Rhinolophus ferrumequinum: one gene and its partners. The protein of the gene in region 1 interacts with the protein of each later gene in a pairwise test. Links are inferred from orthologs where the notes say so. Each region holds a gene or a part of one and is shown in the gene's direction. Other genes may lie near its edges. The genes, in order: TCEANC, OBI1 and RAD54B.

Region 1 (3,751 bases):
ATTATATCTTCAAAGACCCTTTTTTCCAAATAAGGTCATATTCAGAGATTCTGGGGGTACGTATCTATCTTTGGTGGGAGGACGTTTTACCGCTCCTTCCTCCTCCTGCCCTCACCTGAGAGAGACCAGAAAATAGTGGAGGCAGTGCGGAAAGGTTGCAATAAGGTCGGTGAAGGAATTGATCCATGTCTTTCCCCTTTGCTGTCCCAGAGTTACAGACCACACCTGAGCTGAGGAAAGGTCGGAGCTTTTAATTGGATAATTGAATTTTTTATATTAGATTAGAATGGACTTTTTAACAACCTAAAAATAAGATTATTTCTTTATACCTGAGAGTCATTGGAAAAGCTGTGGGATTTACTTAAGCCTCAAGCTCCAGCCCTGGAGGAACCAATGGGCAGGGGAGAGAGCCCACAGAGGTTGTTTCAAGGCAGTAGTGAGAAAAAAAATAAGAGTCTCTTCGTACGTGCACCCTACGGAGCCCAGCCTGTTCCATAGATTTATACGTGTTGCACTGTTCTGTGATTCAAACAATCTTATTGCAATAGCCTTTTAAAACTAAAATCTCTTAGGCTATATCCAGGATGGACCGGCAGTATTTCAACAGTTTTTATAACTGAGTCGCTGCTGGGTTTTGTTTACTTTTATTTTTTACTAATTACAAATGTAACCTTGGTCTGTCTTCCCTCCTTCTAGGTAAGGTTTATTACATTGCTCAATCATAGAATCACCTGCTTCCTGACAGCATTCAATCCAGAGTAAAGCCCTGCTTCCTTGAACCTTCCCCCAAGTTACCTTATAGGAGGGGATCAGCAAAGAAGGCTGCCACATATTCTAGTTCTACCATCACTTTGGTTTTATTGAACCCTTGCACGGAAAGATGTGTATAGATGATTAGCGCGGGATGCACATGGCTACTTCATGAATGTCTACTACTTTCGTATCAAACTGATGCATGCTAGGGGTGCAGTAAATACTGTTGGATTAATTACTGCGTTAAATAAATAATTCATATTTTTGTCCAAAGTTTTGTCAACATTTAGCTGAGCACTGTCTTGACTGGAAGCAAAAAGGATAGGCTACAGAGTAGTTCAACAAATCTTGCTGCCCAAAAACGTTAGCCGGGCTAGTTTTTTTCAACTCATGCCGAGATGCTGGACTATACGGCCTCCGCCACCCAGCCACGGAGAGGCGGGCCCACGGGCGCTGACCCTCTGCGCAGGCGCCATCTCCACTGCACGCACGCGCTGGATCCAGGCTGCGTTCTTTGGTCTGCGGGCTTGGATTGGTTGAGCCGCCGTGGTCCCGCCCTGGGAACCGGAAGTTCCCTCAGGGCGAGGGGGTCAGTGAGGGCACGTAGGCGTCGCCTGCGCTTCTCGGTGAGACACACTGCGGGTTGGCTGGGGTCTCTGTCCACCGTTGCTTGGGGAAACCCACCCCTGCTTGGGGAGGCTCTCGGTGTTACCTGGGCCGGGTAGGCCCGAACGTGCCCTCGTCTCCTCCTCTCCAGCGGAGGTCGCGGCGTGGGCAGATTGCTCCGTGCCGCCGCTGCTTCTGGGCTGGGGGCCAGACTCACCCGGGGACGGTTTGCCTCCGGCTTTGCTTGTCGCACCACACCCATTGGAACCCGAACCCGAACCCGGACCAGAGCGGGCCCTTAGACTGCTCCCTCGCACTCGCTGCACCTTTGCTAGGGATCATCCTGACGTGAGAGGACCCCAGCGCAGTATTGAGTGGCTGTTCAGGAACTGCAACGCCCCTACCAACATTTGGCATCATTTCTCTCCATAGACGAGGGGCTCCCTGTGTAACTGGAGAGGTGTATGTGTTACGGCTGGAAACTTAAATTTTCTCTCTAGATCTTAGATCTAAAGGCCTAAACAGATCTAGGTTCCAGCTGATTTGTTAGCAGCCTTTGGAAATTTTTCTTTGATCTTTCCCCTTTAGGGTTTAGGCCAGGTGTATGTACCTTGCCCATACTGTAGTATTAGTTAATATTTACAAGCTTTTAACGTGCATTTGGTCCACGGATATTTATGGCCCACTCTTGCTGGTGCTGTGTAAACTCTATTTTTGATACGTATTCAGAAGGTAGGGGTATAGGTATGTAAGCATCTATATTCGCATATGCACTAGAACTGTGTTGTCCAATATGGTAGCCACTAGCTACCTAAGTGTTGAGCACTTGAAATTGTGCCCAGTCCGAATTGAGTTCTGCAGTAAGTGTAAACAGCGAATTTTGGAGAATCAGTATGAAAAAGAATATATGTCAGTAATTCGTTTATATTGATAGCATCTTAAAATGGCAGTATTTCGGATACACTGGGTTAGATAAAATATTAATTTCACCTGTTTGTTTTTTAACATGGCTACTAGACAGTTTTAAATTCTGTCAGTGGCTTGCATTACATTGCTATTGAACAAAGCATTGCTCTAGAAAGGAATCAGCAAACACTGGCCTGCAGCCGAATCCAGCCTGCCTGTCTTTGAAAAAAATAATTATTGGAACAAAGCCATACCCATTCATTGATGTATTGTCTATGGCTGTTGTTCTTCCATAAGAGCCTGGAGTTGGGTAGTCCATACAGAGATTTGATGGACTGCAAAGTCTGAAATATTTACTATCTGGCCTTTTACAGAAAAAGTTTGCTAATCCCCTGTTCCAGAACAATGCCTGCTGTGGTAAATATATGTAAGCCTTTTCATTGTAGTCCTGCGTAATTGTCAGTCAGGCTTACAGTGTAACAGGCATACACTTCTAAGGACTTCATAAGGACTATCTCGTCTAATTTTCATATTAATCCTAGGATGTTGGATTTCCCCCATTTTGTAGATGAGGAAATTGAGGCACAAAATGGTCATGAAATTTACCCAATGTTCTCAATACTCCTTACTTCTGGGAACTGTATCTTCTTGACCTTCCTTATTCACAAATGGCTTGACGCCTGGAACTCACTTGATTAGTCCACAGTAGGCACCATGCTCTCTTTTTGTTTGTTTGTTTTTGAACTAGAATTTTTTAAATGACCTTTTAACTAGAATTGAGATGAGGTTGGTCTCGTGGAAGAAGCTGAGGGGCGCTGAGCTTAGGTGCAATGGGTACAAGCAAGGTGATCTGTAGTGACCAGAATGAAGCTCACAAGCAGAGAGGAGAGCATCCTGGGTGCTGTTTAGTCATTTAACAAAAAACATTTGTTCAGTAATAGTGAGCACTGGCCAGGTGTTTGCCAGGTGTGTATCAGTGAATGGAACAAATGTCATTCTTAGGGTCTTGTGGGGAAGACAGACAATTAAAAAAAAATTAACATGGTACGGACCATATAAAACAATGTGCAAATACTTGATGTTTTTTACAGGTTTCGTCATCCGTAAGTTGGAGATAAGTTGTACACCTGTCTCGGTTCTTGTGAGGATTGAGATGACCTGAGTGTGTATGGCACGGAGTTGCTCAATAAATGTACATTGTCTTCCACTGTTAAGAGGTAAGTGAGGGAATGAACATGAGGAATTGGGGGCATCGTGTCATTTTAAATATGACAGTCACCAGTTGTTATTTGTAGGAAGGCTCTCAGGTGAGTTGGGCACAGTACATGTTTTTCACATTTCCTGATTTAATGTCACTCATCTAGCAAAACCCGAAGTCAGGTTCTGTGTGTTCCGTCTAGGAGCAGGGTGGGAGCTGTCCTTGGGCTGAGTTACAGCGTGACTGTTACTGTTACAGCATAACTGGGACGGGCCTGCTGCAGGAAGG
Region 2 (3,751 bases), on another chromosome or scaffold:
CACACGATAGTCTCCAATTCCTAGGAAATGAACTTATTGAGCTATGTGGAAGAATTCTTACTATCCCCGGTGAGGACTTGGGCTCCTTCAAGTGAACTACTAGATGCTCCAATCTTACTGTCTGTTCCTTTTATAGACATGGTAGTAAGCATACATTGACCTCATTAATACACACACGTTTTATCAAGGAGGGAGCTAAAAAGCAGAGAGGTTAAACAAATTGTCTGAAGCCCGGAGAGCCAGAAAATTGTTCCAACAGGGATTTCTACTCTCACAGTCCAGGTGCAGACCCTATTTCTTTTAACCAGGAGGCTGCTTCTGTGATAATGCTGCCTCTTCTTCCAGAAAGATTAGTAAAATTAGTTCCGTTGGTTTTGTTTCTAAATCTCCCTACTCCTAGATTGTATTTGTTTGCATAAATTGATCACACTGGCTCTTCCTCACTTAAAAGTTGCAGTTGAATTCCTAATCTGTTATATTCAAGATTCACTGAGGAACTTTTATTAGAGTTTTCCTTTTTCATTGGTAGGACATGGGAACTTACAACCTCACATATTCCCCTTCGGAGTTCAGCAGCACAGTGGTACATTTCATAACCAACCTTGCACCTTATGAAATAAGGGCTTTAAACTCGAGTGCTTTCGGGGCGTGTGGAAGACTCACTATTTGCAGCTTCCTCACCTGTGGGTGTTAATCAGTCTGTGGTTCCGTCCCTTAAATCTCATCGTGGATGGAAAACCACAGACGGGCCAACAGTGAAAGCGTGTCTTCAGGGGAAGCTGCGATGAGTGTGTCCACATCGTCTGCTGAACAGATAAAGGGGGACCATCACAGTGTGTTGTTTTTAATGACATAACATCACTGAAGGCTACAAAGAGAGCTGAGAGTGGCCACGTTGTTTTGAAAAATTAAAATGTAGAGATCGTCTTTTCTCTTCCTGTTTTGACGGCACTGTGTGTCTGCAGAGTGTGTAGGGAGAGACTCGGGAATTTAAAACTCAGCTTTCCTTCTCTTCCTCTCCCCTCACCACTACGACGCTTCCATTTAAAGTTTGAAGATGCTCCATAGCTGTAGTAAACCGCCTTCCCTTTCACTCTCAGGAGCCTTGCAGCTCCCGAACAGCAGAAAGTTTTTTTTTTGGTTTTTCTTTAATGAAAAGAATGCAGAGCGGGCGAGCCCTGGGCGACCGCGCGCCCCGAAAGCGCGTTTCCGCGTCGGGCCCGGAGGCCGTGGCCCCGCCGGGTTGCCGTAGCCGCCCTCGCGCGCCCCCGTCGCAGCCGGATCGGCCGGCGGCGGGACTTCCGTGTTGGCGGGCTTCTGAACGCTGCCATGGCTCAGGCGGTGCAGAACGTTACATTGTCGCTCACTCTGCCCATCACGTGCCACATTTGCCTGGGGAAGGTAATGGGCGACGCCGGGCGCGGCTGCGAAGCGGGATCGGGTCGGAAGGAGCTCGCCGGAGCCGAGGGCGGGCTCGGGGTGGAGCGGGGACGCGGCGTGCGGCGCGGAGACGGCGAAGACGCCGCACCGGTGTTCTCCCCGGGCGACGGGAGGCCGCGTCCTGGGCGGGGGCTGCAGGCAGCGCGCCGGGAGGAGTGGGCTCCTCGGTGCGCCTCTCGGAGGAGGATGACAGCGGCCTGGGGGTTGCAGGGAGGCTGCCGAGGCGGCTCTGCCACGTCCAGCGCCCCCGCTCCCGCCGGCCGCGCCAGCCGGCCAGCGCCGACCTCCGAGGTGGCCTCGTCAGACACGAATCGCGACGATATTTTACGCCTCTGGCGCAACCCCGTCTGGCATGTAGTGAAGCCCATGAAAGCACGTTTCCTAGGGACCTCACCGAAGGTTCTTTCGTCCCCTACACAAGTAGGAGGGTCATGGTATTGGGCCTGCAGTGCTAGTCAGGGAATCTTCCACGTCCCAGATCCTCCTTTTTGCTTCACCCGACCTTGAATGGCCTTTGCTCCGGGTGCAGAATTTGAAAAGTAAATAGAACGTGTCCCTGAGTGGTGGTTAGCATGAGAGGTGTGGTCTTGAATTCCAAGAACGGATGAGTCACGCGATGGAATACCCTCTCTTTGTGATGCAAGAGGTGCCTAAAATGGGTGTGAAACAAGGTGGAGAAAGTTTTGAATTAGAAATGGGAGTTTGGAGTGTTGTGTTGCATTCCTCTCTCCTTTCCGTTGGTGCCTCCCATTCGGTTTTCAAAAGAGCATTTCTTTACCATGTGCATCAAGAATGGAGAAGATACTGTGAACAACCAGATTTTTTTTTCCACTCTCAATTTTTCTTACGTTTGGGGTGTCAGTGTGTTCCCCTCCCCACCCCCCAATTGCAGACTGAACCTACAGCCGCAGGCTTAGCCTTGAGAAATACAAACTTCATAGAGCAAATGTTTGAGTGCCAGCCAATACGATCAACTGCCTTTGGTGTTTGGGGTTCTGTGTGAATTTGCTAAGTTCAAGAAGTAGTAGAAAGTCAGGCATGAAAGCAACTAATAACGCTTGATACCAATCAGAATGAAACGCCAACAAAATGTGCTGTGAGAGCATATAGGGAATGGCTTGATCAATTCTGACTGGAGAGATCAAGGAGGGTCTGGCGGAGGGTGGTATTTGAGCTGGCATTTGCTACCACTGCCTGTGTACATGGCTGGGAGCAGGAGGAGATGACATATCTATTTGCTACCATCTACATTTGGCCCTTGCCGTGAGTGCCCACACGTATGTGTTCAATTCTGAGTGCATTTCCTAAAGGCTGATAAAAATATCCTTGAGAAATAAGTTTCATTCGGTCTTAGTTGTGTACCTTATATCTAGTTTCCATTAGTTAATAGTTGTGTTGCCTTTTTCAGTTGTGTTGAAAATGTGTTCTCTCTGGTTGATTTTCCATACCTATGCTTTTTGTGTTTAACAAGAAAATGATACCTAATAGAATATAGTGATTTGCAGATTACAGAATGCTTTTGTATGCATTTCATTATTCTTTCACTCCTGTCACCAGTGCTATAAGATAGAGGGGGCTGATTTCCCCATTTTTTGAATAAGAAGACAGACTTAGTTGCCGCCATTTGAACCTCTATTGCTACCATTGTCCTGAGTAGATTACTTAAAAACTCACTTGAGCTCATCCTTGACAGCAGACCCTTTTGGGGTCCTATTTTTTCCTTCCTATATTAGTGAGCTGTATTGTAAAATTAAATATGATAATAAAAGATGAACAAATTGTAAACAGGCATTTTTATCTGTCTACTATGAAGGCAGGAAGGTGTTGTGGTTGAGGGCCGGCCTGATTTCTGTGTTCGTACTGCATGAATTCTAATCTAGGCTCTTTCACCTGTTAGTTGTATGACCTTACGTAGGACAAGTTACTGATCTCTCAGAGCATTTTCCTTATCCATAAAATGGGAATGGCAATAGTATCAATACCCATCCTTGTGTTTGGAGGAAGATTAAATGAAGTAATTCGTATGTAGTGCTTCGCATAAAGTCTGGCACATAACAATATTCAATAAATGTTAACCTTTACTATGGGCACTGAGGCAGGCCCTCCAACTGAGGAAATCAGCCTCTTCTAGTAACTGTTCTTCCCATTTGCTTTGTGAGGCCATTGCACTGACTGGATGACTTGCATTCCTGACAGAGTGGGAGACCTGTTTTGTCTGGGAATTACCACAGTACAACCCGGGCTTCTAATTGGTTCCATGTGACTGTTGCCTGTCGTACAGTTGAAGCAAATCTGATTTGCTTGTGCTCCT
Region 3 (3,751 bases), on another chromosome or scaffold:
TGTGATTGAAACGCAGATAGTTACAAATCATATATTTATGTAATAAATTAGCATTGAGAAATAGTTGTATTCTTTCTGACTAAAATGACAGACATTTTCTAGCCCATCTTTAATATCATAAAATAATCAAGTAAGTAAGATAGTTCATAACAATTTTTATTAGAATAAAAAGTGAGGTTGATTTCTCCCCCTCATAGACAATTCCTATAAAATATAAATAACTCTCTTGAAGTTTACTGTTTCAAAAAAAGTATTTTATTTGTTATAACTAGGATTGTATTTCTTTTCAATTATACTCATCAGTCATAATTTTGCAGTTTGTCCTTATCTTTATTGTAGAAAATTAGCCCTAACTTTTTCAACATGAACACGGAAACTTATGCTGTTATATAACTAATAACATCTTTATTTGAAACATTACTTTTGCCAAAATAAAGTTAAAAAAATTATAGCAATTTAGTATATAAACAATGATAGATACTCGATCACAATTTGGTAAAATTTAATACTCCCTAATTCATCACATATCTTTAGAGTTAATGGCTTTTGAAAATCAGTCTAGATGATGAAAATTATTCTATTTACACATTTTCAAGTGTTTTGTTCAAACTGGAATATTTTTCTAGCTGTTACAGATGGTGGCCTGATTTGAAAATACTTTTATATTAAAAGGCCAGTGACCTATATATTTCTACCTTGTCACCATATTAAAGGTGTTCGGCCTCTTATAAAAACATCAGTTTGCCTATTTGGGTCAGGTAGTTTAAAGGGATGTGTTATTTTAACAAAGTTGGTGAAGTCACTTCATTACTAAAATGCAGCACGATTTAAGAGCTTTATGGTAAAATTCAGTTTATATATATGCTTTTTTTCCAAGCAAATACTGCTATGCAGACCATCAAACTGCATGAATATATCCATGTAAATAGATGTCTCAGATTTAAGAAGTATGTGTCATCTGTTCTGAAATGAGGTCTGTTGTTGGTGCAGACTCAGCATCTCCATCAAGTCTGACATAGGCATCAAATAAGTATTTTTTTAATTGAACCATAAACCTGAAGCAAACTTGGAGGCACTTAAAGAGAAATGCACTAGAAGGTACTATGCTAAGTGAAATAAGTCAAAGAGAAAGACAAATACCATATGATTTTCCTTATATGTGGGCTCTACAGAACAAAATAAACAAACTAGAAACAGACTCATACACCAGGGAACAAACTGATGATTGGCAGAAGAAGGAGGTTTGGCGGGGCTGGGTGACAAAGGTGAAAGGCTTAAGAAGTACAAATCGATAATTATCAAACAGTCACTGGTATGTAAAGTACAGTGTAGTTGGGGGAAAATCCAAACAAAAAGAGGAATGTAAAGGGACATGCGTGGTAATGTAGTCCAATCAGAGTCCGGGGCGGAAAAGGCGCTGCGGAGCAGGGGGCGGGAGATAGTGCGCGCGCAGCTGGCTCTTCCACGATTGGTCACGCGAAGGCGGGAGCCTTGAGCTACTGCGGCGGTGAGGGACGTGCTGCAGTCCCCTGATTTTTCTTGCCTGGGGCTTGCTTCTTTCGGATCCTTGTAGGTACGTCCCTGGAAGACAACCTTCAGGTGAGGCTGCGACAGCCTGTAGTCTCGTGCGGGATAAAGCGGGTAGAGAGTCAAGCAAGAGCAGGGCTCTGAGGGTGGAGGGACAGGAGCGGCGGAGCGGCTGTTGCCGCCTCCTGCGGGTCCTGAGCCGGTATGAAGTGAGAATGGCCCCCTCGCTGCTGATGTGGTTGGTGGCAGAGGAACGGGCGGTGGGTTTGCGTTTCTTGTGGTGGCGGGAGAGTGACTCCCAGCAGTGGTTGCCTCTGCACCAGCTCTATGGTCCGCCTGCACTGCTCCTGTGGCGCTTGCGTTTCTTTACCCCAGAACTAATCTACATACACTTTCCTGCATGGTATTAATTAATTAACAACAGATTTTTGTAGGCCAGTTTAGTGGGGCCACAAAGTAAAAGGAACAACTTAAGCCACGAAGTGAAATAACTACCACCTAATGTCGATGGAAAGGCAAAAAATAGAAACGGGGGGGGGGGGGAGGTTTGTTGCTGGTTCTTGGTCGTTATTTACATTCTTGCATCCCGGAGGTTTGATGGTCGCACCCCCTCCCCCTTCAAAGCACAAACGAATCCTTAGATTCAGGTCGTGATCCCCTTTGTTGAACTACATACTTCTATCTCCCCTTCAGGGACCTTCATCGTCTATACTTTCATAGGACCTTGTGTGTTAAACAGCCAATAATAATTACGTGTAATAATATTCCAGATAACATTGAGTGCTTACTATGTGTAAGCTTTGTTCTAAGTGCTTAAGTATTTCATTTACTCCAGTAGTCCTATGAGTAATTATGATTATTGTACCCCATTTTGTAGATGAGGAAATGGGTGCACAAAGAGGTTAAGTAAGCTGTGCAAGATCACACACTAGGAAGTGTCAGTCCAGATATATATTCAGGTGTTTACCTCCAAATTTGTGTTCTTAATTATTACACTACATTGCCACATAATTTAGGCCCTCTGGTATGTTGCAGCTGTCAGCCTGGACTTGCCATTTTATTTGGGAGGACAGAAGCAGGTAGGATGTTGGAGTCATCTCAGAAGTTGTAGCATCACAACAAGGCTGACAAATGGGGGCATTATTTATATGGCCTGGGAAAAGGCTCAAATAGCACTAACTTAAGAGGTGATAAGAATGCTGAAGTATTTAGGGGGGAAATATACTGATGTCTGCAGTTTACTTTGAATGCATCAACAAATTAGATGGCTTGATGGATGCCTAAGGTCATATGTAAATGGAAGAGCTAGAATTCAAGCCTACTTAGGCTGGCTCCAGAGTCTGTTTTCTGAACCACCATTCTGTGCTGCTTTTCACTTGCCTACATTCTCAATTCATTATTTTTTTTATTAGTTTACAGATAGGGCTTAAAAATTAGAACTCATGTATTAGATCTAGAAAGTTTCAGGGGTTGAAAGTGAAGATGAACAGAATTTTACTATCTAGTCCATAGTCTCCTATTTTACAAACAAAGAAGTTGATATCCAGAGTTTAAATAGCTTGCTCCAAATTTCTAGTTACTGTGTTTTTCTAGTTTTCCTTTTAAAAAGCTGTTGGTCAGAATTTTCAGTTTTACAGGGTAGTCTGACTAATGCAAAGAATAAACCTAATATATTTCATGGTGTGGATGTCATTTTTATTAGTGATATCTAGAATTCATTACTTGTAGTAGGCTCATCGTTATCTTTTTATTTCAGTTGAGCTATTGTCATCTAAAAGCCTTGAGTTTTGAATCTGAACTTCCCATTGTTCTATTTCATTTGACCATTAAGTGAATCTAAGTTCAGGGCCTAACATTTGTGTTTTTAAATCATCTTCTTGCAGTTAGCTTGTGTCAGTTTCAAATTTGTGTCAGTTGTGTATCTAGGGACGCGTAATATTCTGTCGACCTATTATAAAAAGGAAAATGAGTTAATGAGGTCATTTTGGTATGACTTGTTTGGACAGAATCTGTATTGACCACTGGTATTGGTAAATACTACTCCTAAAGTAAACAGTCACAAACCATTTTTTTTAAATTAATTAATTTATTTTTTAAATTTATTGGGGTGACAATTGTTAGTAAAATTACATAGATTTCAGGTGTGCAATTCTGTATCACATCATCTATAAATTACATTATGTGTTCACCATCCAGAGTCAGTTCTCCTTCCATCACCACATAT

Evidence for each region.
Region 2: the proteins of TCEANC (region 1) and OBI1 interact in binary tests that used the Homo sapiens proteins (3 or more experiments, as listed by UniProt). The two-hybrid records come from large-scale screens. The link is inferred for Rhinolophus ferrumequinum from reciprocal best matches to the Homo sapiens genes TCEANC and OBI1.
Region 3: the proteins of TCEANC (region 1) and RAD54B interact in a two-hybrid assay, tested with the Homo sapiens proteins (2 studies listed by BioGRID). The two-hybrid records come from large-scale screens. The link is inferred for Rhinolophus ferrumequinum from reciprocal best matches to the Homo sapiens genes TCEANC and RAD54B.

The regions. Positions count from the first base shown.
Region 1 is NC_046284.1:116,520,330-116,524,080, reverse strand, and holds the start of TCEANC (transcription elongation factor A N-terminal and central domain-containing protein), read left to right. Parts: upstream 1-1,291; 5' UTR 1,292-1,379; intron 1,380-1,396; exon of another isoform or gene 1,397-1,821; intron 1,822-3,356; 5' UTR 3,357-3,433; coding exon 3,434-3,482; intron 3,483-3,751.
Region 2 is NC_046287.1:29,221,906-29,225,656, reverse strand, and holds the start of OBI1 (ORC ubiquitin ligase 1), read left to right. Parts: upstream 1-1,248; 5' UTR 1,249-1,329; coding exon 1,330-1,401; intron 1,402-3,751. UniProt on the Homo sapiens protein: E3 ubiquitin ligase essential for DNA replication origin activation during S phase.
Region 3 is NC_046297.1:35,818,377-35,822,127, reverse strand, and holds the start of RAD54B (DNA repair and recombination protein RAD54B), read left to right. Parts: upstream 1-1,475; 5' UTR 1,476-1,599; intron 1,600-3,751. UniProt on the Homo sapiens protein: Involved in DNA repair and mitotic recombination. May play an active role in recombination processes in concert with other members of the RAD52 epistasis group.